Linked DNA regions of Astyanax mexicanus. The protein of the gene in region 1 purifies or fractionates together with the protein of each later gene. This does not show direct contact. Links are inferred from orthologs where the notes say so. Each region holds a gene or a part of one and is shown on either strand. Other genes may lie near its edges.

Region 1 (11,936 bases):
CCAGGTCCCAGACTTTCATATTACCACCACCATGTTTGACTTTCAGTACAATGGTCTTTTTCTCAGGTAATCTCTGTGTGATATTAAAGTCTAATTGTTAATCTAGACTAGGACTAGGACTAGGACCTTCCTAGCAGTGACCGGCCTACTGAAATGACTCCAAAAGGGCAGGGATAACTCATCCAGGAGGTCCAGGAGGGTAAAGAACTGCAGGTCTCACCTGCCTCAGTTAAGGTGAATGATTTTTGATTACAGACTGTAGTCCTGTATCTGTTTCTCTACATTCTTTATTATTATCCTTCTTTCTAATGTGCTGGTACAAGTGGATCAGCCACAGCAGTGCTGCTGGAGTTTTTAAACATCTCAGCGTCACTTATAGACCGAAACTCACATATATCTCACTTGTTCACCTGGTGAATTGCGGCAGCTGGCCATAGTGATCTGGAACGTCAAAGGGCATGTACAGGAAGTGTCTCAGCTCAGCCACGCCAACATGGCGAACCTGACATGGTTGAGCTTTGGAGATAGACTGCAGAACATTGTTGTTTCTAACCCCCTCTTCGATCTTCCGCTTGCACTCCGCCACGGCGTAGAAAGCCTCCTTATCGGTGGACAGAAGCACGAGGCAGACGCTACACTCTGGAGGGTCCAGGTAGGCGACGTAAGTGTAGAAGTAGCAGTCTGGATTAAAACGAGGAAGGCAGACCGGGGTCCAAATTTCACCCGTCTGGAAGGACGTGGAAGCTCGAATGAGGTTCAGAAGCAGGTGCAGATCACTCGGCTTCAGCCTGGCGTCTTCTATGACCATTTTCTCCTGGACAATGGAGAGGAGCTGACCCTTAGTGACCAGGAGAGACAGGACAAGATTAGGAGTGACTGCTTTCTGCAGGACCTGGTTGAGAACGTCTCTGGAAGACGAAGCCAAAGGCAGGCACTGCACAGCCGAGAGCAGGAAACCAGCCTCAGACTCCATTACATCCAGGAGACCATCTATAACCTTCTCCGAGCCGAACAGCAGCCGGCGGAGGTCGTAGTTCTTCCTGCGCTGGAAAATGCGATTGATGCTGGCCTGGGTGAGCATGCTGACGATCTGATGGTAAACATGCAGGAGCTCAGAGCGAAGCTGCAGCTCAGACTGTCGACTCTTTGATGCGGAAACCAGAACCAGAGGTCCTTTCTGCATAAAGACAATCGTGTGCCCATCTGAAAGAGAGTGATACAAAATCTAGTAACACTTTATTCAGGTGCCTGAATAGAGGCTTTATAATCAATTTATGAGCATTAAATAATGTATTTAGAAATAATAATTTGAATATTTAAATATATTTTATATTTATGAACAGTTTTTACCATCACAATATGACATTGTTGTCAGTACAAGACGAGTTTTTTATTGTTTTTCTTTTCCTTGGCTGGTAACTCTTGAACTTATAAATGAACTTATTCTGTGCAACAGAGGTAACTTTTGGTCTTCCTTTCTTGGAGCGGTCCTGATGAGAGCCAGTTTCATCACAAAGTATTTGATGACTGTCTTTAGGACTGCACTTGAGGAAAATTTAGGATCATTTTTTTCTGAATTTTGCCTGATAACATTCATAGTTAAGTCCCATATTTTTCAGACTATAACACGCACCTTAAAGTCCTTTAAGTCTTTACATTTTCTCCAAAATCATCAATGTGCCTTATTTATAAATTCTACCAGTCAGGTTTTAATTAAGGCGCAGTAAAGCCACTCTACTGAAGTACAGCGTTACTTGGGTAAATTTTCAGTGAAGTTTCTCCAGCACTAAGGCTGAGAGCACCCTGCATTAGCATTAGCCGCTAACCGCAGCAGTGCTAGATCTTTCACCGTCCAGAGGTGAGTATATTGGACTGTAGTCTGCATGTTTACCATGTTAAAACAAGCTACGTGGGACAAACCACTAGTTGATAGCACCCTGGGTTACCTGAACACTTAGGGTTCCTCAGCTTAGCACGGTCGGGTGGCATTCATGTCCCGCTAGCACTGTGGTTAGCGGCTAATGCTAATGCTAATGCTGCTGCACCCAGCCTTAGTGCTGGGGAAACTATTGGAAATCTAAGCTTACAGTAAAGAACAAGATTCTAACAAACTCTTTTTAATACCTATGAATTTAGAAGAAACAGTGAATAAGTAGGTGTCCAATATTTGTTCATATAAATCTGGAGATATTGTAGGATAGGGAAATGAAGCAATTTGACAGAGACCTTCCTGGGAAAATGTAGCTGTGTGTGGGTGAACATTATCCTACTGATATCCTATTCTCGTGTATCACTACTAGGTGTTGACACGTTGTATACAATGTCACTCCAGATAAGGCGGGTTTAAATCACTCACCACAAGGCCAGATGTGGTGTTCAATTGTGTGCCTTTAGTTAAACATTAGGGTGACTTGAGTAATCATCTTAATGAGATTTGTTTATGTGGTTTCTACACAAGGCTTGCATCACTCTATATCTACATTAGCCTCATAGCTCATAGGGTAATAGGAACATATTGTGTAAATGTGCCACATTATTGCTTTGAATGACCACCAGTGGTCTACAGTTCATAATACCAGCTTCTTCTTTTATTCAATATTGTATTCTCCAGTGTCTTTTGGTTTTGCATTGGTGGAAAAGCATTGTATGTGCCTTAGCTACGATGCTACATTAGCGGAGTGGCTGGCGGGTTTTGTTATTCTAAACATACACACCTACCTATTTCAATTGTACTTGGCTGGTGGTGTTTTTTCCTCCATAGACAAATTCTAACCATTTGTTCCTTAGCTCTGCATTACTGGGTAAAGCATATAAACACTGATGTGTTATTCGCACAAATAACCCAGCAACAAACTGCCGAACTGCTGTTCTTAGCGCTGTTAGCTCCTATCTGACGAGGCAGTGCCTCTGCCTGGCTTCAGCTCTGTCTGTGGGCGGTCCCGAGCCAAGGTGGGTGTGGCCATGAATACTAATTAACATATTTTCAGAGTATTTTCTTTTCATGTGCAGCATCATATACAACTCAGAGAGACCTAATGTATTTCACAAAGAACCAGAAAAAGTGGATTTTAGAGTGGATTTTAGCTGAAGGACACCTTAAAAAAGGTGCAAAATATCGTAATATATTAAATTGTATCGCCAATAATACACAGTACTAGTACATACATTTTTTTTTGTATTTTCCATGCATCCTCAAACTTTTTTATGATTTGTGGTATATATAAAACATAAAAAGTTAATAACCCCTTTAATAACATCTCACCTGAGTAAATGGACTGAATGGTGTTTCCTCCAACCTGGACAAAAGACACCAGCGCCATCATGACCCCCATCACTGAAGACAGGGCCTCCTCGCTGCCATGGCGAGAGTAGATGGGCTTCCCTGCTTCGCTCAGCACAAACACATGCTTCCTGCGGCTCCTCCAGCCGTCCGTCATCACCTCCTCATTCTGACTGGTCTGGATTTGGGAAGCTGAGGAGCAGTCGCTCCCGAGACTTGAGGAACTCTCGCTCTGCTTCAGTTCCGTTCCAGATAAAAGCACTGTAAAATCACTAGATTCCTCCAGAGAGGTGTTTTCAGGTAGACCCCCATCAGTTCCCGCACTGTCTCTCTTCAACATGCTGTCCGATTCTCACTTCCCTCCAAACTTCTGCTTTTTTCTACTGTGGAAATGATGTCCCTCTTCCTAAGGAACACTTCTTCCATTGGTGACGGACAATGGATCCCTGTGAGGAGCGCTACAGGTTAATCAGGGATTCCAGGAGGGGTCAGATGTGTTTTATAGACCGTGAATAACGTCCACAGTGCTCAGAGTGCTGCTGGAGATAATAAGATCTATAGTGGTATGTCATCATCAAGGTTTCATCAAAGGCTCTTTTGAAGTTTAGAAACTAGCCCTTTTTATCTGGGTTATCTTAATACAGTATATTATAATCAAGTTTCTCCCATGATGTTATTATTATACTTTTATTATGTTTATATATATTTTACTGTCAGAAACTTTAGTGTTAAATCAGGACAAATATACACTATATTTAGATATGATGTTATACAATATTGTTCTTTTTTATGACACCGAATAAACTGACGCTGGAAAAAACACCATAGACACCTAAGCAACCACCCTAAAAACTGCTATTTAAGACCCTAGCGGCAACAGAACACCCATTCAACAATGCATTACTGACATACTACAGTAGCCCCTTATCAACCACCTGGAACACTGTTGCAACCACCCTGAAAACCACTAACTAAAACCTAGCGGCACCAGAACACCCATTCAGCAATGCATTAGGAACCACCTGACATAATAACACAGCATATTAGCAACCACCTGATCCCCCATTCTGCAACACCTTATCAACCACCTGACATATTGTTAAAACATATTAGTTACCACCTTAGCAGCCATTCTGCAACACTGCAACCTCAGTAACCACCTGAAATACTATAGCAACCGACAAAGCAACCACTGAGAATTAGTTTAGCTACAAAAGAGCATGCATACAGCAACACCCTAGCAACCACCTGGGACAGCAATAACAGTAAAAATGTTTCCAATAGACACATTAACAGTTATAATGCTTAGGTATAATATTTAATTTGTAGTAACTTTACTTTTAAAGTTATTACAGGTTATTAAATAATCATAATAGCTCAGAAAGCAAGAAAGATAATCTAAAAAAAATTGTACTCATGCTGATGATGATGATATGGTGCAGGCAGTCAGGAGACTCGTCCACAGTGTGTTTATTGTGAGTAGAAAGAATGTGCTCAGAACAGCAGTGAATGAAGAACTTCTTGACTGTTCACAATAAAAGTCCCTCCCTAATATTCCCAGCTCAATACTGGGGGGCTTTATACCCCACCTAAACCCCAATAGCTGAGAGCCTAAAGAATGGTCCGGTTTAATACATGCATAATAAAAACTGATATAAGACATAGATAAGATGATAAATAACATTTATCATTGCTATACATATTATTTTCTAAATCCTTGAATGCAAAATACGAAATATTGGATGTAAAATCCCATTATATATATCTTTCCAATTTAAAATGATGAAGAACTAGTTTTGGTATCATTTTTTAAATTTATTTACTTTTGCAAACAGAATCTCAGGGAAAAATTAAACTTTTCTTGATTTTCAATTTTTTGCATTTTGTTAAAAAAAAAAAAATTAGACTATACCATCAGGCATATGTTACATTAAAAATAAAAAGGTTTTTGGGAAAAATAAATGTTTTGTTCATTTTTGCTGAACCTGGCAACCTGGGCATGCTGAATCCCATAAAAATCTCTAAAAAAAAAAAAAAAAAAAAAAACTCTGCTTAAATTAATCCTCTCTTAATTTTCATATTTCTTCATTATTGCATCTTGTTAAAAAAGCAAATTGGATTTTACAATCATAGCAAATCAATATGCAAAATACAATATGCAAAAATGAAAAAAATCTGAAAATTAATATATATTAATGAAATAAAATTTTCCTGAAATTCTGTTTACAAAAGGCAACATTTTTTTAAATGATAAAATAAACTATTCGTTCTGAACATAAGAAAGTTGAGTGGTGTATGGTAATATATATATATATATATATATATATATATATATATATATATATTGTCTTTTCATTCTTCTTAAAAAGTAAATTGGATTATGCCATCGTAACAAATCAATATGCAAAAAAATTTCATTTTATATATTAAAAAAATAAAAAAATAACCATGAAAGATGGATAAAAAAATTTAATCACTATTTTAATTGATAAAAAAAACTATTTGTTCTAAAAATCAGAAAATCGAAAGATTTATGGTAAAATGTTTTGTTTCGTGCTGTCTTCTCATTCTGGAGAGCATTTACGCAAAATGTATATTTTTGATGGACCTGGCAACCTTGACTCGCGCTGATTCGCGCAGCTGTAGTGCACTAGTTAGTGCAGAAGTGCGCGTGTTGGAGCGCAGACCGGGTTTAATGAGAGCGTGAGAGAGGGATCAGTTCTGCTCGCGGTGGATCAGGTGCTTCGGTCTGAGCTGGAGATCATGACCCGGACCCGGGTCCGCTCAGCACGGCTCTGGACTCGGGTTTAACCCGATGAAGAGGATTTAAAGCGGAATATCGACCTGCGGAGCGATGGAAGATCACCTGCTGAAGTTCATCCAGCGGGTCAGGTTCCTGTCTGAGAGCGGCTGCGATGGGGACAATGAGATCACTGCTGAGTACACCGTGAGTACCACCTGAGTACACCCGCTAAACCTGCAGCTGGAAACTGGGATTAAATTCATATAATAAACTAGCTACTAATATAGAGATTATACTGAGAAGTTATTGAGAGATTTCACTAAACATACATTTATTATGTTTCATTCCCAGATAGCAAATATATATTGATCAGTTTGAGGCTACATTTAATTAAAATTAAAATTAAAAGTTGAGTGCAAAAGTTCAATACTTATTTTTAGGTATTTAAATATTTAAATTGTTGAGGAAAAAGTTGTACATCCATATATTTAGCAATTTTTAGTGTTTTCTTCTGCCTTTCTCAAACAGGATTTTATATAAAAATGTCAGATTTAATTTCATTTTTGCATATTGTAAAAAAAATGATAGTGAAATCCAATATACTTTTGTAAAAAAGATGAAAAAAATCAATTTTCCTAAAATCCTGTTTTTAAAGTGTATAAAATGTACACAAACATTTTGTTCATCATTATTTTTAAATGAAAAAAAACATATATACACTGGAAACCTACTGAACACATAAGCACTATGCGTTCATTTGAACTGCATAGGATTAAATTAATATTAATATATCTACCTATATAAAGATTATACTTAGTTACGTCATTGAGAAATTTCATTATACACTACTTCATTATGTCTTTTTGTTATATATAGTTGGAAAATGGGCTGTTACACCGTTTTAGTTACTTTTTTTGTAACTGAAGGGGAAAAAAAGCATTTTTAATGTAGCTAATATTGTTATTTGCTGCATTTGCATCATGTATTCATTTAGGCTATTTAAATAGTTTTAATAAATTTTTATTACTCTTAAATTGTGCAGTTGCATGATTATGCTCTTATAGTATTATTGTAAAGTGGACATGAAACATTTCAGTTTGTACAAGTTTTCTAAGGGATTGAATAAAATGGAATTTATTTTATTGAATGTAATTTTTTTTTTATAAAATGTTTACACACTAAATTAAATCATACTATATTTATGTTTGTTATGTTTGCGCTAGGGCTCCGCCATCTTGCCCGTGCAGCACTGGTGACGTCACGAGGTTGGTTGGTTGGTTGGTTGGTTGAAGAGTCCAGGTACATACAGTAGCTAGCGGTCAGGGTTAGGGAAAAGAGCTTGTTGTTTGTGGAGATTATGAATGAAGACAAAGCTGAACTAGGCTAACGTGGAGCATAGTTAGCGTTAGCTAGTTAGCTAACGTTAGTTACCTCTCGCTGCTCTGCTGGGTGAGCGCGTCGTTTGGCTCGTTTCTTGCGGCTCACAGCTGCTACTTTATAGTAAGGTTACCCTCAGTCAGGTGGTCTGTACATCCCAGCTGTTCAGAGGAAAAAAAATTAAAAATGGAGGTAAAAAGCCTCGGACTTTAGCTTATTTGTCTGGCGAATGACAAACTTCTGACTCAAAACCCTTTCCTCCACATAACAGTCCTCGTCTAGAAAGTGCTCGGAGTCGCTACTAACCCCTAGCATTGCTGCTAACCGGAGGATTCTTGCGCTTCAGGACCGCTAGGCGCCGTTAGCCACCGCCGAAAAACAGCTGTCCGCTTAAGAGACGAGATATGAAAGTGAAAGTGAATCTCTTTCTCACTCTTTAACCTATAACATTTTACTACAACAGAAGTGAGCTAAGTTCCCGAAGGCTAATAGTTTATGTTAGTGAGGCGTCCGAGAACCAACCTCGTGACGTCACTTTCAGCGCTGGGACAAGAGGGCACTACACTTACTTAAAAAATGAGATTTAGATTGCTTTTTATTTTAATTCAGCTTCATTGACAACTGTTAAACTTATACTATTTGTTAGAGTGAAAATACATCTTGTGAATTATATTAAATACTTGAAGTGTTTCATGTCCACATTAAATATAGCATTAAATGCTCATAAATTTACAATAATATAATTTTTGTGCAGTCTGTTGTGCAGTCTATTTCACACTGATTTACAATGATTGATATAACTTGAAACCCCTTGCACTTACACTGTAAGTTGTGTGTGAGGAAGCTGCTGTATGTGCTGTGTACTCAGGTAACACTTTTTGGTTCCCATTCTTGGTCTGGATTCAATTTCATTTTGTTCGGCTTTGTTGACATTGTATTTAAAACCAAAATCATCTATAGAAATAAAACTCAAGGTTCAGTGCTGGGAGATACTGGAGGAAGTAAGATGCTCCATTAGTATTTAAAATGGATGGATGGATGGATGGATGGATGGATGGATGGATGGATAATCGGCCACAATATTCTGTATATTTTAGTGGAAGAAAACACAGGTGCGCCACTGACTGATTAAAACACTGACACGAACACACACATACACGGACACACTGCAGAGCACAAACCGGACCCCTGTTTAACAATAAACAGTATAAAGAATAAAATAACATTGCTGTTCCCTTAAATGAGCTGCTGGCGTATTTTCCCAGGTCAGTATCTGTCTCTGCTGAGACGTGCAAAAACGTCGCACTGTTAAGATTTAACTTTCCCAATATCGTGCAGCCCTACCCTAGCCGAGTCTCAAATGTGCTCCACCAAACAGTTAAGCAGAAGTTGAAGTTAAAGCAGAATGCTTTCTAAGGTTTATAACCTAACTGTACGTCTTTATCTGAACTAAAGTTCAAAAGTAGGAAACTGCGACGTGAAAAAAACTCTTAGTCTAGTGAAAAAAAAAACATTAGCTGTGACTTTTACAGTCTTTTTCAGATCTTCTCCGGTGCGTTGACTGGGGGTAAATGAGGGTACAGCTTCATGTCCTGGTTCCTTATTGAGCCCATAAAAGAATCAGTCGATTATTAACTCAGGGTGATGCTCTGAGACAGACATTACTGTATTAAACTCTGTATGAAGAGAATGAAGGCAGTGCTGCTTAGTGTTGCACTGAGTAAACCATCACCTCAGAACATTTGAATATGTTAACACTGAGTCATGCCAAAAAAAAAGGCCTTCTTTTTTCACGTGAGAGGGACATTTGCATGCACACACAGATCAGAGTGAGAGGGTTATCCATTCATTGGCCTGAATGACTTCCTTTAAAGCTTTCTGACAGCTGTCCAAATATGAAAATAATTTGTCTAAAAATGCAAATGTTGTATTTGTTACCATTACTGTTGTATTTATTTATGTATTTTTCCTATACAGACAAAATTGTCGTCAGTTGTTTGGACTTTCTTGACTTTTTGGACTATATGCCCATCTATCTGTCTGTCTATCTGTCTGTCTATCTGTCTGTCTGTCTGCCTATCTATCTATCTATCTATCTATCTATCTGTCTGTCTGTCTGTCTGTCTGTCTGTCTGTCTGTCTGTCTGTCTGTCTGTCTGTCTGTCTGTCTGCCCTCTTGCAGCATTAACAGCAAGCTGATTGGCTCTGTGCTGAAAGGTGTGAGTAAGGGGTGGGCGATATGGCCCTAAAATAATATCACAATATTTCATAGTATTTTTTTCGTGATAATGATATTCTTGGCGATATGACAGAACAGTAAAAAAGTTAAAGAAAATTTTTCAAAGAAAAAAAAAATTAATTAAATTTTACTATTGTATTATTGCATACAATATGAAATAATATGGCACACCCCTAACTGAGATTAAAAAAAATACAAAACAATAATTTTATCAGATTTGTAACAGAAGTCCATAATACTAATAATATATCTCCATATATCCAGAATTAAAGTAAAATAAATGATACTGATGGGAAATGAAAACAGTGTGATTTTTTTTTTTTTTTGCTAAAAACAGTAGAAAAGTAGTAGTAGTACCCTGATGTGATGACTAGGGGTGGGTGATATGATGGGTGGCACGATATTTCAGGGTATAATATTGTTCACGATATTCAAAAATGTTGGGTCACAGGCACTCAGATTTGCCATTTCAAAAACGCTCAAAACGCTCAAAAGAGCTTTAAATTCGTCGCTTAACTCAAAAATTGACAGAATAAAGAATAAAACAACATTGCTGTTCCCTTAAATGAGCTGCTGAAGGTCAGTATCCTCTGCTGAGACGCACAAAAGCGCCATTAAAAATCACATAAAATGTGATTGTGACGTCCCTATCTAGCGCTATGATAAATTATTGTAAAAGTAAATGAGCTAATGCACTATTTTTGCATGTGTTATTGCTAAACTCTAAAGGAAGGTGTTAATTTCAGGCACGTGAGTCTCCTCACTCATGCTTTTAATCTGAATCTATTGTGGTTTTGTGGTGATTAAGGGCTGCATCTGCTGCGCACTGTTTAAAGAATGCACTGGTTAATGTTCACCACAGCTCAAACAGACCCACGGCTCCGTCCCTTTATACTGTGTTTAAGCCACGTTCAGACGACATCTGGCCCAGTTTCTGCCTGCCTACAGGAAGTGCCTGCGCCACCGGTGAGCGTTAAACAAGCTTCCACAACCTCTGAGGTAACACACGGCCAGCAACTCGCAATCCAGGCTAAAACTGAAAGCGGCGCCGCTGCACTGAGTGCTGCTGATCTCTTCTCCTTTTGCAGCAAGGAAGTAAGAACAGCACTGCGGCTTTCATTGTGACACATACAGAGCCAGCAAATCCTCTACATGCTACGGCTTTAGTGTAGCACCGCTTAGCATCGCATCTCTATGGCCACGCTGTGAAAACAGATTGATGCACTGAATCTGATTAAAGGAGAACCCCGGTGTAAAATATGGTGTTTTAAAACATGTTAAAAAGTAGCGTTCTGAGATCCAGAAATTTTAATTGTCCAAAACACCCTTCAGACTGGGTGAAATGGGGCATAATGTACCCTGATAAATCACTTTTTCCACTGTTATCCAGCTCTAAGTAACTCCCCACTTCCTTGCTAGAATCCGGAGAGGAATGACATTTAAAACGAGGCATTAATAATTTTAAAAGTGCTCAAGAAGCTTATTAAAAACACTGTTTACATCCTATAACACTATAGCTTCAGCTCTGAGCGCCGCCATCTTTGTATTGATGATAATGTTATAGACGTTAAAGGAGAACTCCGGTGTAAAATTGACTTTTGGTGTAACTTAATAAAACATGATAAATACTCAATACTCACCTTTGATTAAATAGCACACCTCCGCTCTCCCACAGCGTTCAGAGATCCAGAAATTTTAACAGTTTGTACAAACACCCTTCAGACTGGGTGATACGGAGCATAATTTACCCTGATATATCACTTTTTACACCGTTACCCAGGTATCTCAAAGTAGCTCCACACCTTCTTGCCAGAATTTGGAGAGCCCTGTCATTTAAAACGAGGCATTAATAACTTAAAAGTGCTCAAGAAGCTTATTAAAAAACACTGTTTACATCCTATAACACTATAGCTTCTAATGTTATATATATATATATATATATATATATATATATATATATATATATATATATATATTAGGGGTGGGCAATATTATATCATATACAATATATCGTGACACAGAAATATTGTGATATTAAAAATTCATATCGTGATAATAGGGCTGTTCTGTCTTAAAAGTAGTCTATTATTTACTGTGAATCTTTAGGTGTATTTATTGTATAATTCTTTTAGTTTGCAGTTTCTATGCATGCACAAAATATTCCGCAATTTTTTTTGCTGCATTATATTATTTTATACTATATCACTTATTTTGCCACATTATGATTATACTGTTATACTCTTATACTATATTCCTGAAATTAAATAATAATTTTTCTGTTTTCCTATATCGCCAAG
Region 2 (12,534 bases), on another chromosome or scaffold:
TAAGGCCCGCGCTCCGGTCTGACCCCTTTCATCTTTTACCTTCACGAGACACACTGTATCAATATTCACCTTCATCTTACGGTTATTAACGCAGCCGCTCGCGCTCAGTACCTGCTGCCCTCACTGCAGGTGTTACATGTGCTGCAGATGAGAGCGCGCGCTGCTCAACGGCCTATATTAGCGTAATTGCACTATATAGTCAAATGTAGGGAGAGTTTTTTTGCGTCGACACGCCCACAATCTGCCCAAGTGATTTGAACGTTGGGTATACGTTGGCTGCTCACTTGGAAAAAAAGGTTCTATATAGTGAGGAAATACGTCTTTGTTGGACCATACAGAAATATTACAACTGTCTTTGTAATTATAGATTCATATAACCAGTTAAACCAGTTATGCACTCATATTTACTTTATATAACATTTTAATGAGATCAAATTAACATGAAGTCAGCGAGAGTGTCTACCTGTAATAAACTCTATAATATTACAATTTATAAACTCAAATAAACATAAAGTCAATGAAAAATCAGTGAGAGTGTGTACCTGTAATTAACTCTATATAACATTTGAATTTATAAAGCCAAATAAACATAAATTCAGTGGAAAGTCAGTGAGAGTGTCTACGTGTAATTAACTCTAAATAAAATTACAGTACAAAACCCAAATAAACATAAAGTCAGTGGTCAGTGAGAGTATCTACATGTAATTAACTCTATATTACATTAGAACACTAAACCAGAATACACATAAATTCAGTGGAATATCAGTGAGTGTCTACCTGTAATTAACTATATATAACAATAGAATTTATAAACCCAAATAAACATAAAGTCAGTGAGAGTGTCTACCTGTAATTAACTCTCTATAACATTAGAATTAATAAACTCAAATAAACATAAGGTCATTCTAAAGTCAGTGAGTGTCTACCTGTAATTAACTCTATATAACATTAGAATTAGTAAACTCAAATAAACATAAGGTCATTCTAAAGTCAGTGAGAGTGTCTACATGTAATTAACTCTATATAACTATAGAATTTCTAAACCCAAATAAACATAAAGTCAGTAAAAAGTCAGTGAGAGTATCTACCTGTAATTAACTCTATATAACATTATAATACTAAACCTAAATACACATAAAGTCAGTGGAAAGTCAGTGAGCGCTTCTACATGTAATTAACTCTATATAACATTAGATTATTTAAACTCAAATAAACATAAAGTAATTGGGAAGTCAGTAAGAGTGTCTACTTTTAATTAACTCTATGTAACATTAGAATCTATTAACCCAAATAAACATAAAGTCAGTGGAAAGTCAGTGAGAGTATCTAATGTAATTAACCCTAAATAACATTAGAATTTCTAAAGCCAAATAAGCACAAAGTCATTTTAAAGTCAGTGAGAGTGTCCACCTGTAACTATCTCTATATAACATTAGAATTAATAAATTCAAATAAACATAAAGTTTTTAAAGTCAGTGAGAGTGTCTACATGTAATTAACTCTATATAATATTAGAATTTCTAAACCCAAATAAACATAAAGTCAGTAAAATCAGTGAGAGTGTCTACCTGTAATTAGCTCTAAATGACATTATAATACTAAACCTAAATACACATAAAGTCAGTGGAAAGTCAGTGAGAGTGTCTATGTGTAATTAATTCTATATAACATTAGATTATTTAAACTCAAATAAACATAAAGTAATTGGGAAGTCAGTAAGAGTGTCTACTTTTAATTAACTCTATGTAACATTAGAATCTATTAACCCAAATAAACATAAAGTCAGTGGAAAGTCAGTGAGAGTATCTAATGTAATGTCTATGTGTAATTAATTCTATATAACATTACAGTACACAACTCAAATAAACATAAAGTCAGTGGTCAGTGAGAGTGTCTACCTGTGATAAACATCTATATAACATTAGAAAAAAGCTAAAGCCAAATAAACATCATTATAGTCATTGTAAAGTCAGTGAGAGTTTCTACCTGTAACTATCTCTATATAACATTAGAATTAATAAACTCAAATAAACATAAAGTCATTCTAAAGTCAGTGGGAGTGTCTACATGTAATTAACTCTATATAACAGTATATAACTATAATAACTCTTATATAACTACATTTCAAACAGTGCATTGGTATATGGTAAAGTCTTTCGGTTGGTAAAGTTTTAGAGAGAATCTGATGCACACCTTTGTTTCACAAACCAATCAGTGTGAAGGATAAAGAGACTCCGCCCCTACGTAGGTGATGATGAGAGGATGTAGCAGGTTGACAGTGTTTTACAGTGATGTTTATATTATCTTGTCTCTCCAGAAAATGCCTAAATCAAAGGAAGTGCTGTCCTCCTCCTCCAACAGCGACTCGGACAGTGAAGCCGATACGAAGGTACGTCGCTGATGATCTGTAGCATCAGTGGATCAATAATCTGATCACTTCTGATTGGTTGTTTGTTCGTTTTATCGGTTTCAGGCTAAGAGGAAGAGGCAGGCGACGCCGGAGAAATCCTCCAAGAAGCAGAAGAGTGGAGAGTCCTCCAAAACCTCCGGCTCCTCCAAAAGCAGCGGCGGCAGCAAAAACGACAACATGTTCCAGGTCAGGAGTCTTCATTACTGCATTACATTACTGTTATATTGTAATTGTAATTACTAGAGCTGTCAAACAATTAAATGATTACTTATTTAATTGTTTATTTTAATTGTTTTATTTGTTTAAATTTGACTAATAGAGTATAGATATTTTCTGATTCGATTCAGGCAAAATTAAACAAAATTAAACTAGATACACAGTGTCAGTCAAAAGTTTGGACACATCTTCTTATTAAATTTTTTTTATTGTTCTTCCTACATAGTAAATGAATAGTAAAGTCATCCATACTACTATCTGGGGAGCTGTTAATTTGCTGGTAACTCTAATGAACTTATCCTGTACAACAGAGGTACTTCCTGCTCTTACTTTCCAGGGGCGGTCTTGATGAGTGCCAGTTTCATCCTTATAACGTTTTTGATGGTCTCTGCGACTGTACTTAAGAACACTTTTAAAGTTCTTAAAATGTTTAGAACATTACTTAAATAGAGCTATTCACTGTATACTAACTGTGCCTCTTCACAACTTTACAACTGATGCATAAAGCTGACTGAGAAAATGCAGAGATGTAAAGAATGTAAAATATAAAACATATTCTGGTTTATTTAACACTTTTTTGCTTTAATAAAAAAATGTATATGTTTTTCTTTATAGTTTGGATGACTTTAGTATTAATTTGCAATGCAAAAAATTAAAAGTAAATTAAGCAGTGCCCAAATGTTTAACTGGTACTGTATAATCATAGGTGATGACAGAGACCCCCCATATATTTAAATAATTAAATTTAAACAGAAAATAAATAAATAAATAAAACAAAAAATATATTAAGAATAAAAAAAAAAACAGAATAAAACAATACAGAGTTTATAGTCCCTAATTTTTACACAGTTTCTCTGCTTCTTTTAATGAAGTTCGAATCAGAAATAATGAATATTCCTTAGTTATTATTATCATCATCATCATTAACAGCTAAAATATAAAACTGGTCCTGTCACACTTGTCTATTTTCTCTAAGATAGGGAAGATGAGATACGTGAGTGTCCGAGACTTCAAAGGGAAGGTGCTGATTGATATCCGTGAGTACTGGATGGATCAGGAAGGAGAAATGAAGCCGGGGAGGAAAGGTATCTGACCTGTTACTCTTTACTAACCACCTGTCGAGGATGTTTCTTTTATTTGGAAAGGAGAATTAAGTATTTTGCTTAAAATAGCCTAAAGTGGTCTAGCGGTCTAAAGCGCTGCCATTATGATCGGGAGATCGCCGGTTTGAATCCCAGTCATGCAACTTGCCATAAGCTGCTGGATCCTTGAGAGAGCACAATTGTTCTTGCTCTCTCTCTTGGTGGGCATAGTAGATGGAGCTCTTTCTCCTCATCACTCCTAGGGTGATGTGGATCAGCACAAAGCACAAGCGTCTGTGAGCTGATGTATCAGAACTGAGTCGCTGCGCTTTCCTCAGAGCATTAGCGCTGTGATGATGCTACTCGGTAATGCTGAAATAAGCAGCAGTTTAAAAAGAGGCGGAGTCTGACTTCACATGTGTTCACCCTCCTGGTGTTGTGGCATCACTATTAATGGGTAGATACAGCTGAATAGCAGCTGAATGGTGGGAAAATTGACCTAGCTAAATTGGAGGACAATTTGAAAGTATAAATAACCTAGAAAAGTAGAAATAATTAATAAAAAAAGCCTAAAAAACTTAACTGTATGTAAGTATTTATGTGTAAGTTTTTCTTCAGTAAGGCCAATTTATTCTTCATCACTAAGTTAACTTGCTGCCTAAGGTGTAGCCTGTGTGAGCGCCCTACGTAGCTGTCTGCTTCCTCAGTTTAAACCACGAAGACTAGAATGTGTGGGCTGTTCAGATGTATAAATTGGCCTTTAAGCACTAAAGACACTGTACTACTGCTACTGTGAGCTGATTGGCTGGTTGGTGAGCTGATGCTGGAGTTACAATCAGAGCACGGATTTTAAAAGCTTTATTACTAGGAGTTTTAAAGCTTTAAGAATTTTAGAAACCTTTTATTTTGTTCTGTGTTGAGGGATGAGTACAATATTTTAGTTTAAAATTATTAAACATTTATAAACTGTAAAAATGTTGCTCCATTGTGCCATATGAACCCATTTATTTTTAGACTTACCCAAGAGCGACCTCTGGTGGTCAAACAGGTCTGTAAGAGACCCTGAAGTGAGTCTTATCCTGTTGTCCAAAAGCATTTAAAAAATAAGGGTACCACTTTAAAATAAGACTACCTTTATAGGGTTTATAAATGGTTTAGAATTAGTTTATTAATATTTACTAATTAGGTTGCAAATGCCTTAAAAATCCTTAATAATCAGTTATAACACATATACGTAGAAAGGGCAACAATGACCTGTTGTTTGCCAAAAAGTGAACCCACAGCCATCTTCAATGTTGCCCTTTCTACGTATGTGTTATAACTGATTAATAATGATTTTTAAGGTATTTACAACCTAATTAGTAACCATTAATAAATTAATTGTAAACCATTTATACACCCTTTATAAAGGTAGTCTTATTTTAAAGTGGTACCAAAATAAATGCATTAAAAAAAACATTAAAAATGCTAAACATTTAATGCTCATCAGATTTTGTACTCGTCTTTTATATTGGGGAATTTTGTGCAGTTTTGATATTTAATTTTATTTGATCTTTTATACATGTAGTTTTCATGTTCCTTCATTTCCTAAAAATGCTCTTAAATTCACTTTGCATGCATATGTTTGTTTAAATTCTGTAATAATTATAAGAAAATATGGGTCCTGGACTAAGACCAGTTTAAAAACCCTGTATTAGAGTTTCTCTAGAGTTTCCCAACAAATGCAGGATAAACTCTTTTTAATACCCTTTGATTTCAGAAGTACTAGTGATCGAGCAGCTGTCCCAGTATTATAGTAATTTGTTGGATCTGTCTGTGTGTCTGTCTGTTCTCAGGTATTTCCCTGAACCCAGAGCAGTGGAATCAGCTGAAGGAGCAGATTGATGATATCGATGAAGCCGTGAGGAGAACATAAACACTCCGGGAGCCGACGCCGCTGTCTGATCTATTCATTCCCGCTCCGCGCTTTACCCACGTTTTATATAAAACAGATTAATAATAATCCATGGAGAGTTCTAGAACTGATCTGTACCTGTGTTTTAGATTAGGCCGATCGCTGTGTTGAGTTTACTGTTCCTTTTCTTTTCTACTGACCGCGGTCCTCATAACTCCGTAATGATTTTGTGGATGAGTGTGTTTGTGGGGGGTGGGGGTGGGGGGAATAGCCTGTGTTCACTTTTTACAATAAAGTTGATGGAAAGTTAAAAATAATCACCAGTGCTTCAGTGTTTGTGTACTTACTGAATTAGAGTAAGGGAAAGTTTTGGGTGTGTCCCAAATCAATCTTTGTTCCCTTCACACTTTCTTCAGGTAGTTTTTTTAAATTATACTATTTTAAGAAACTACTAATAATTCCATTTCCTTACTATGTTCCTCACAGTGGAAACTGACAGGTTAAATCTCTGAGACAGCTTTTTGTATCCTTCCCCTGAACAACTATGTTGAACAATCTTTGTTTTTAGATCATTTGAGAGTTGTTTTGATGAGCCCATGATGCCACTCTTCAGAGGAGATTCAAATAGGAGAACAACTTGCAATTGGTCACCTTAAATACCTTTTCTCATGATTGGATACACCTGGCTATGAAGTTAAAAACTCAATGAGGTTACCAAACCAATTTTGTGCTTCAGTAAGTCAGTAAAAAGTAGTTAGGAGTATTCAAACCAATAAAATGATAAGGGTGCCCATACTTTTGCACCGGTCAAATTTTGGTTTAATGCATATTGCACATTTTCTGTTAGTACAATAAACTTCATTTTAATCCTGAAATATTACTGTGTCCATCAGTTATTAGATATATCAAACTGAAATGGCTGTTGCAAACACCCAAATTTTTACAACTAAAAATGATTAAGATTAATAGGGGTGCCCAAACTTTTTCATATGACTGTAAACATAATACCATCTCTTGCAGTGTGACAAAAAGCAAATCAATAATTTTGAGTATATGTATGTATAAATGCTCATTGGTATTTAAATTGTGGGGAACTGACACCAGTAAATCCATAATTCCTGCTATTTACTTACTTAGAAGTATCTTGTTTCTCAGTGGCATAGTCACTGTGAAGGGTGGGGAATAGTTTTGTGATATATTTATTATCGCTGAATCGCAGTTTTGAGATATCGCTGTTATCATTAATTTACCACAGCTGAAAGGTGCTGGAAAAACTTAAAATGGGCCTTGAAAATGCTTAAATTTTACATTGTAAAGGGTGTATGAACCATGAATATTGTATTTTGCTATACAAAAGAATCCATTTGATCAGGGTCCCGGAAAAAAAAAAAAAACATTGCTTAGGGCCCCAGAACTTCCAAATCCGCCCCTGCCCACAGTAAATGTGTGCAGCAATCAAAGCTTAAAGGCACTCCAACCAAATACTAGACCAGGGGTGTCCAAACTTTTTTTTGGGGGGCCAGAGGGGGCCGCTTTTAGACTCTTTGGCCCGTTTTTCTGCGCTAGAAATGCGCACCCTCTCCGCTTTTAGACTCTTTGGCCCGTTTTTCTGCGCTAGAAATGCGCTCCCTCTCCGCTTTTAGACTCTTTGCCCCGTTTTTCTGCGCTAGAAATGTGCACTCTCTCCGCTTTTAGACTCTTTGGCCCATTTCTGACACCTAGCGTTCAAACTTTGAATCTCACATTATAAAAACCTGCTTAACAGCGGGCCAACTTTCATTCTATTTCTAAAATACCTCTCGGGCCGCTCCAAAAAAGGAAACGGGCCGCAAATGGCCCGCGGGCCGTAGTTTCGACACCCCTGTACTAGAGTGTGTGACTTTTTTTTTGGTGACAATTTTTTTTAAGCCAGGCTGTGTGCAAAAAAAAAATATGCCAAATTGAGATCTATCTTTTGGTCTTTCCTCCAAAACAGTTCCAGATTATCATATGGCCACACTTGGGAAAAAATTGCCCCAGACTGAAGTGCACTAGGTAGGGCACTAGGCCTCAGTTTGAGACACACCCTTAGTATGAGCTGCATTGGCAGACTTCAGCCAGCAGGTGGTGGAAAGGTGCAGCAGCGTACAGTCAGAAGTGAGAAACAGCGCCACCTGAGGCCACATTAACTTCTGTATAACGTGTAACAGTAGCAGCAGGAGCAGCAGTAGTCAGTCCAGCAGTCTGCTCCAGCCTCTCACACAGCTCACATCTACCGGCTCCAGCACCATGAGAGACCTTCACTTTAAAGACAACTTCTGGGTAAGAACTTTATCCACCATTTACTCACTATTTACTGCTTACAACCTCTTTATTATTTAATATAATCAACATACAGTGCTGTAAACTAGTTAAACAGGCTGCCTGTATCTTAGAGGAACCTCGGCATATTATTAAAATACTTATATATACTTAATTAGTAATAGATATATCCACTTTATTATAATCTGAGAACTTTTATCTACAGTTTTTTCTGCTTTTCACAGTATAGAGCTGTTTTTCAAGGGAACTTCCTCCCTATACATAACAGCAAAACCTTTTTGTGGTCGCTTTCCTCAAACCAACTGTCATAATCTTATTTCACAAAAGAGGTGGTTGTTTTTTAATGTATATATGAAACCAGTTATTATTTTTTTATTATTTAAAAATGTTCTGCTTTCAAACTATTGAAAAAAACATATGAAATTAATTAGTATACAAATTAAAAAGTGGTAACCAAACCAGAATATGTTGAATATTTTACATTCTTCAAAAAGTAGCACCTCTTGCTTAGATAGAGACAGTTTTGCACATCTCTGCTGGATTTTCTCAGTCAGTTTTATGAGGTAGAGTCAACTGGAATTCAGGCTTTCAGTTAACAGCTGTGCTGAACTCATCAAGAGATAATTCCTTGAATTTCTTGTCTCTTAATAAAGTGTTTGAGAGCATCAGTTGTAAAGTTGTGAAGAGGTGGAGTTACAGGTATACAGTGAATAGCTCTATTTGAGTAATGTTCTAATCCAGATTATGAGAAGCAGAATTAAAGAAATAATTAAAGAATTAAGAAAGAAGTTAGTCAATTTCAAAGCCAAAACGTTTCAAATTTTGTGCAGTTCCAGCAAAGACCATAAAAATACTTATAATGATAATAATAATGGGGACCACCCCAGGAAAGCAAGAGCAAGAGTTCCCTCTGTTGCACAGGATAAATTTATCAGAGTTACCAGCATCAGAAACTAAAACATTGTTTTTACACATATAGAGGAATAATAATAACTTTCACTTTTAAGATCATTGAATTTTGGCGTTTCAATTATTATTCATTTAGCTCTGATCTCAAAAACATCAAGCTATTTACGCCTCTATGTCCAAGAATTCTCTGTCCATCCTGTCATCAGACATTTGTTAGAGGTAAAAAATACAGGAAAGGGTATTTTTATGTAGAACACTGCTATGCAAAATTAACATTTAATTTGTGTAAACTTGACAGATTATTATTGTAATTTAGCAGTGATTTCAATCACTGTAAATTAATTTACATTTTTTTTCAGTAGAGTTATTTACTTATCGTCTGTAATTTTAACAGGAAAACTCTGGTAACCACAGCTGCCAGCGTTTTCCTGTAAAAACTACAGTTTTTTTTTTACAGTGTAGGAATAACCCTGCCCCTTTAAGAAACTAACCTTTGACATCAGTGACATCACAAATAATATTTATACTGTTTTATTCTATTTTCAAAGGACTGAAGACACTTGCTGCTGCTTGTTTAGCAGTAATTGACAATAATTTACAGTAATTTTATGTAATATTTCTCATATTGTCTCCATACTTACAGTAGTTTAAACATGTAAAGTTTAGGCTTAAGTTTAGGTCCTTCATGTCCCAGTAAAATATCATTGTTGGCTAAAAAAAAATCCTTCAAGACGGTTAGCTTAGCTTATTTTAGGACATGCTAGCCTAACTTATTAGTGCCAGTTCCACCGTTAAAATCTATAACAAACAGTGTAATTAACTTTCTAACTAATTAATGTATGTATGTAAGCTATTAATTGTTGGTCAGTAGAACGTTTTCTGAACAATGCAGTTAGCTAACATTCTTAGAATGTTATAGTAAATCTGTCAAGTTTTCTGGATGTTCTTAGATTTTTTATGTGTTTAAATGTTCTGGTAACATCACTTTTAACGTTTTTACTTTTAACGTTTCCTTAAAGTTAGCATTCGACCAGCTGGGATTACTATTATTATGTCAAGCATTTAGAACATTTTTTGGAACATTATCTCTGTATTTTTACAGTTTATTTGTCTTGAAACCTTTTCAAAACGTTTCTAAACAATCTTGTAAGTTGTTCTTGTTCTTTGAATGAATTGACTTCTTGGAGGAACTTCAAATGGATTATTAGTAACGGATAACTTAGCTAGCTAACTAATTAGTGCCAGTTCCACCATTAGAATCTATTAAAAATACCTTAATTAACTAATTAACTGACTGTCTAACTAATAAATGTATCTTGTAATTGAATACTATTCTTAACAGCAAATTATCAGCTGACATGACCTGTGAGAAGATCAGAAATGAATTATCATAACAGGTAGTTTAGATACTACTACTAGTTTAGATACAACTACTAACTAATTAGTTCCAGTTTTACCGTTATAATCTATAATAAAAAGCTTAATTAACTAATGAACTAACTGTCAAACTATTTAATGTATCTTGGAATTAAATACTATTCTTAACAACAAATTAACAGCTCACATGACCTGTGAGAAGATCTGAAATTGATTATTAGTAACTATAATAATATTAAAATTCCTTAAACATTTTTTTATTAAAAGTGCAAGTCAGTGGAGTTAAGTTTGGTCTAAAGCTCAGACAGTCCAGGCTTCATTATGTTGCTTTCTAATGTTTTGGAAAGTGCTATTAGTCTGTCTAAACCTTTATTTTGACACATGGCTAATGCTGGCTGTGGCTGCAGGCCTGTGATTATGTGTCTGGCTGCAGGCATGAATTACAGCGCTGCTAGAAGCTGCTGTGGATAATGATAGCCAAACCTACAGGCTGGAGTAGGAGAACTTGGCTAAACTGTAGTGTTTAGACTGCTGTACAGTGGCTATTTCCACAGCGCTGTAGTAATTTAACACCTAATCTAGCGGGCCGCTGTGTCTGGGAGGATATTGTGAATTATTTACTTAGTAAGGGCCTATTAAAAGCAAAATTCCTTGCTTTGTCTAAACATTAATGAGTGTAATGTTGTTTAAAAAATATGCTCAATTCATATGGATGTATGGATATTTTTTAAACTTTAATGCATATTTTTTATAAGGCAACAAAAACCCAAAAAACAGTGTAATAACTGTATCCACATACTCAGTTTAGCCTCACGTACCTACTCACTAATGCTGTTATATGATGCTTAAGTTGTAAGGAGTGTTTCAGCACATGTTTTGTATATACGTTGTGTGGAGTTATCTTGTGAGTGAGCTGTAAAGGCAACATGAATTATATAAGTAACCACTGGTTAAAATATATTACAAGGAGTTCCTGTAAGGTCAGTCAATCCAAAAACATGTCAAATTTTAACTTAGAAAGTATCTTCAAGTGCAGTTGCCACAAAGATCATGAAAAATGTTATAATGATGAAACTGGCACTCATCAGGACTGCTCCAGGAAAGCAAGAGCAAAAGCAATTAAAGGACCAATGCATAAAATGAATTAAAGGACCAACCACTGGCTGAAATATTACTAGGAGTTCTCGTATGGCTTAACCCAAGGATAAAGTCCCGCCTTTCAACAAAAAGAGCCAATCTGCTTGCTGCTTACTCTGCGACTGGAGATCAGTCTGTATGCTAGTAAGCACCTCCTCAGTGAGGAGATATGCGCAAGTGCAGTAGCCAGAATAAGAAGCCGAATAATCACGTTCTGTGCATTTTATAGCCAAATGCTAGTCTAATGCTACAAACTGTTAATGATGTTATATTAGATTTTATCAGTGATGTAAAATATGTTTTTAAAATTATAATCTTATCTGTGGTTTGGAGTATTTTGATCTCTTCCAATTTTAACATATTGGGAGGCTGGTCTTGGGTTACTCATAGGGCCCTTACTCTTACCCATACAATTTAGCTCCGCCCACTTAACTGAAGTTACAAGGACTGTTTCACAAAGGATAAATGAGTGTTTTTTTAGTTTATAAACCCATAAAAACACCAACACCTAGGACATTTAGGATATTGGCTCTTTAAATCTATGATTTAAAATATTTTTAGTTCGTAAAACACATTAGAAAATGTGTTAAAAGTGGACCTTGTGGTATAAAATACATACAATTGAGAAAAAAATATAGGCTAAGGACCCTTTAATGGTGTGTCAGTATGGCAGTATGTGCTGATGTATTGATTATTAATGATCTGCCGTGTTTGTAAAAGGAGTTTGAGTCCAAAGTTCACTAAAAATATCTTTATTTTCTTCCTTATGTGGACAGAGCAGTGAAATCACCAGCACAGCAGGATACGACGCCATCATCCAGCACCTGAACGATGGGAAAAAGACGTGCAAAGAGATCGAGGACTTCATGAAAGCCAGGTGAGAACCAGCATCATTAATAGTCATCAATCAATAATCATGTAAAAAATGAGCATTTACCACTGCAGTTCCAAAGGTTTACTAAATCAGGGCTAATTATTATGAATTATATTAGTAAATTGTATGCATAAAAATAGACCAGAAAATAGACGTTTATTGATAGTGTACCTTATAATCTGGTTCACCGCATAGTGCGAAAAATTCACTAATCTACAGTTACAGTAGATACATAATTAGGGCTGCACAGTATAGGGAAAAATCTGCGCTGAGCACTCAAAACCTGAGAAAAAGAGCAAAACAACAGTAATCAGCCCTTTAATCAGCCATTTAA

The links.
Region 2: the proteins of ptpn18 (region 1) and pstpip2 purify together in Homo sapiens (affinity purification with mass spectrometry; 4 studies listed by BioGRID and IntAct, with this or other methods). This does not show direct contact. The link is inferred for Astyanax mexicanus from reciprocal best matches to the Homo sapiens genes PTPN18 and PSTPIP2.

What each region holds. Positions count from the first base shown.
Region 1 is NC_064419.1:3,030,891-3,042,826, forward strand, and holds the start of ptpn18 (tyrosine-protein phosphatase non-receptor type 18), read left to right. Parts: upstream 1-5,952; 5' UTR 5,953-6,134; coding exon 6,135-6,227; intron 6,228-11,936. Other genes in the region: mon1ba (vacuolar fusion protein MON1 homolog B), read right to left, coding at 411-1,203, 3,263-3,620. UniProt on the Homo sapiens protein: Differentially dephosphorylate autophosphorylated tyrosine kinases which are known to be overexpressed in tumor tissues.
Region 2 is NC_064427.1:20,971,195-20,983,728, reverse strand, and holds the start of pstpip2 (proline-serine-threonine phosphatase-interacting protein 2), read left to right. Parts: upstream 1-7,788; 5' UTR 7,789-7,870; coding exon 7,871-7,903; intron 7,904-9,370; exon of another isoform or gene 9,371-9,412; intron 9,413-12,102; coding exon 12,103-12,203; intron 12,204-12,534. Other genes in the region: sub1a (SUB1 regulator of transcription a), read left to right, coding at 2,321-2,389, 2,474-2,596, 3,603-3,711, 5,544-5,623. UniProt on the Homo sapiens protein: Binds to F-actin. May be involved in regulation of the actin cytoskeleton.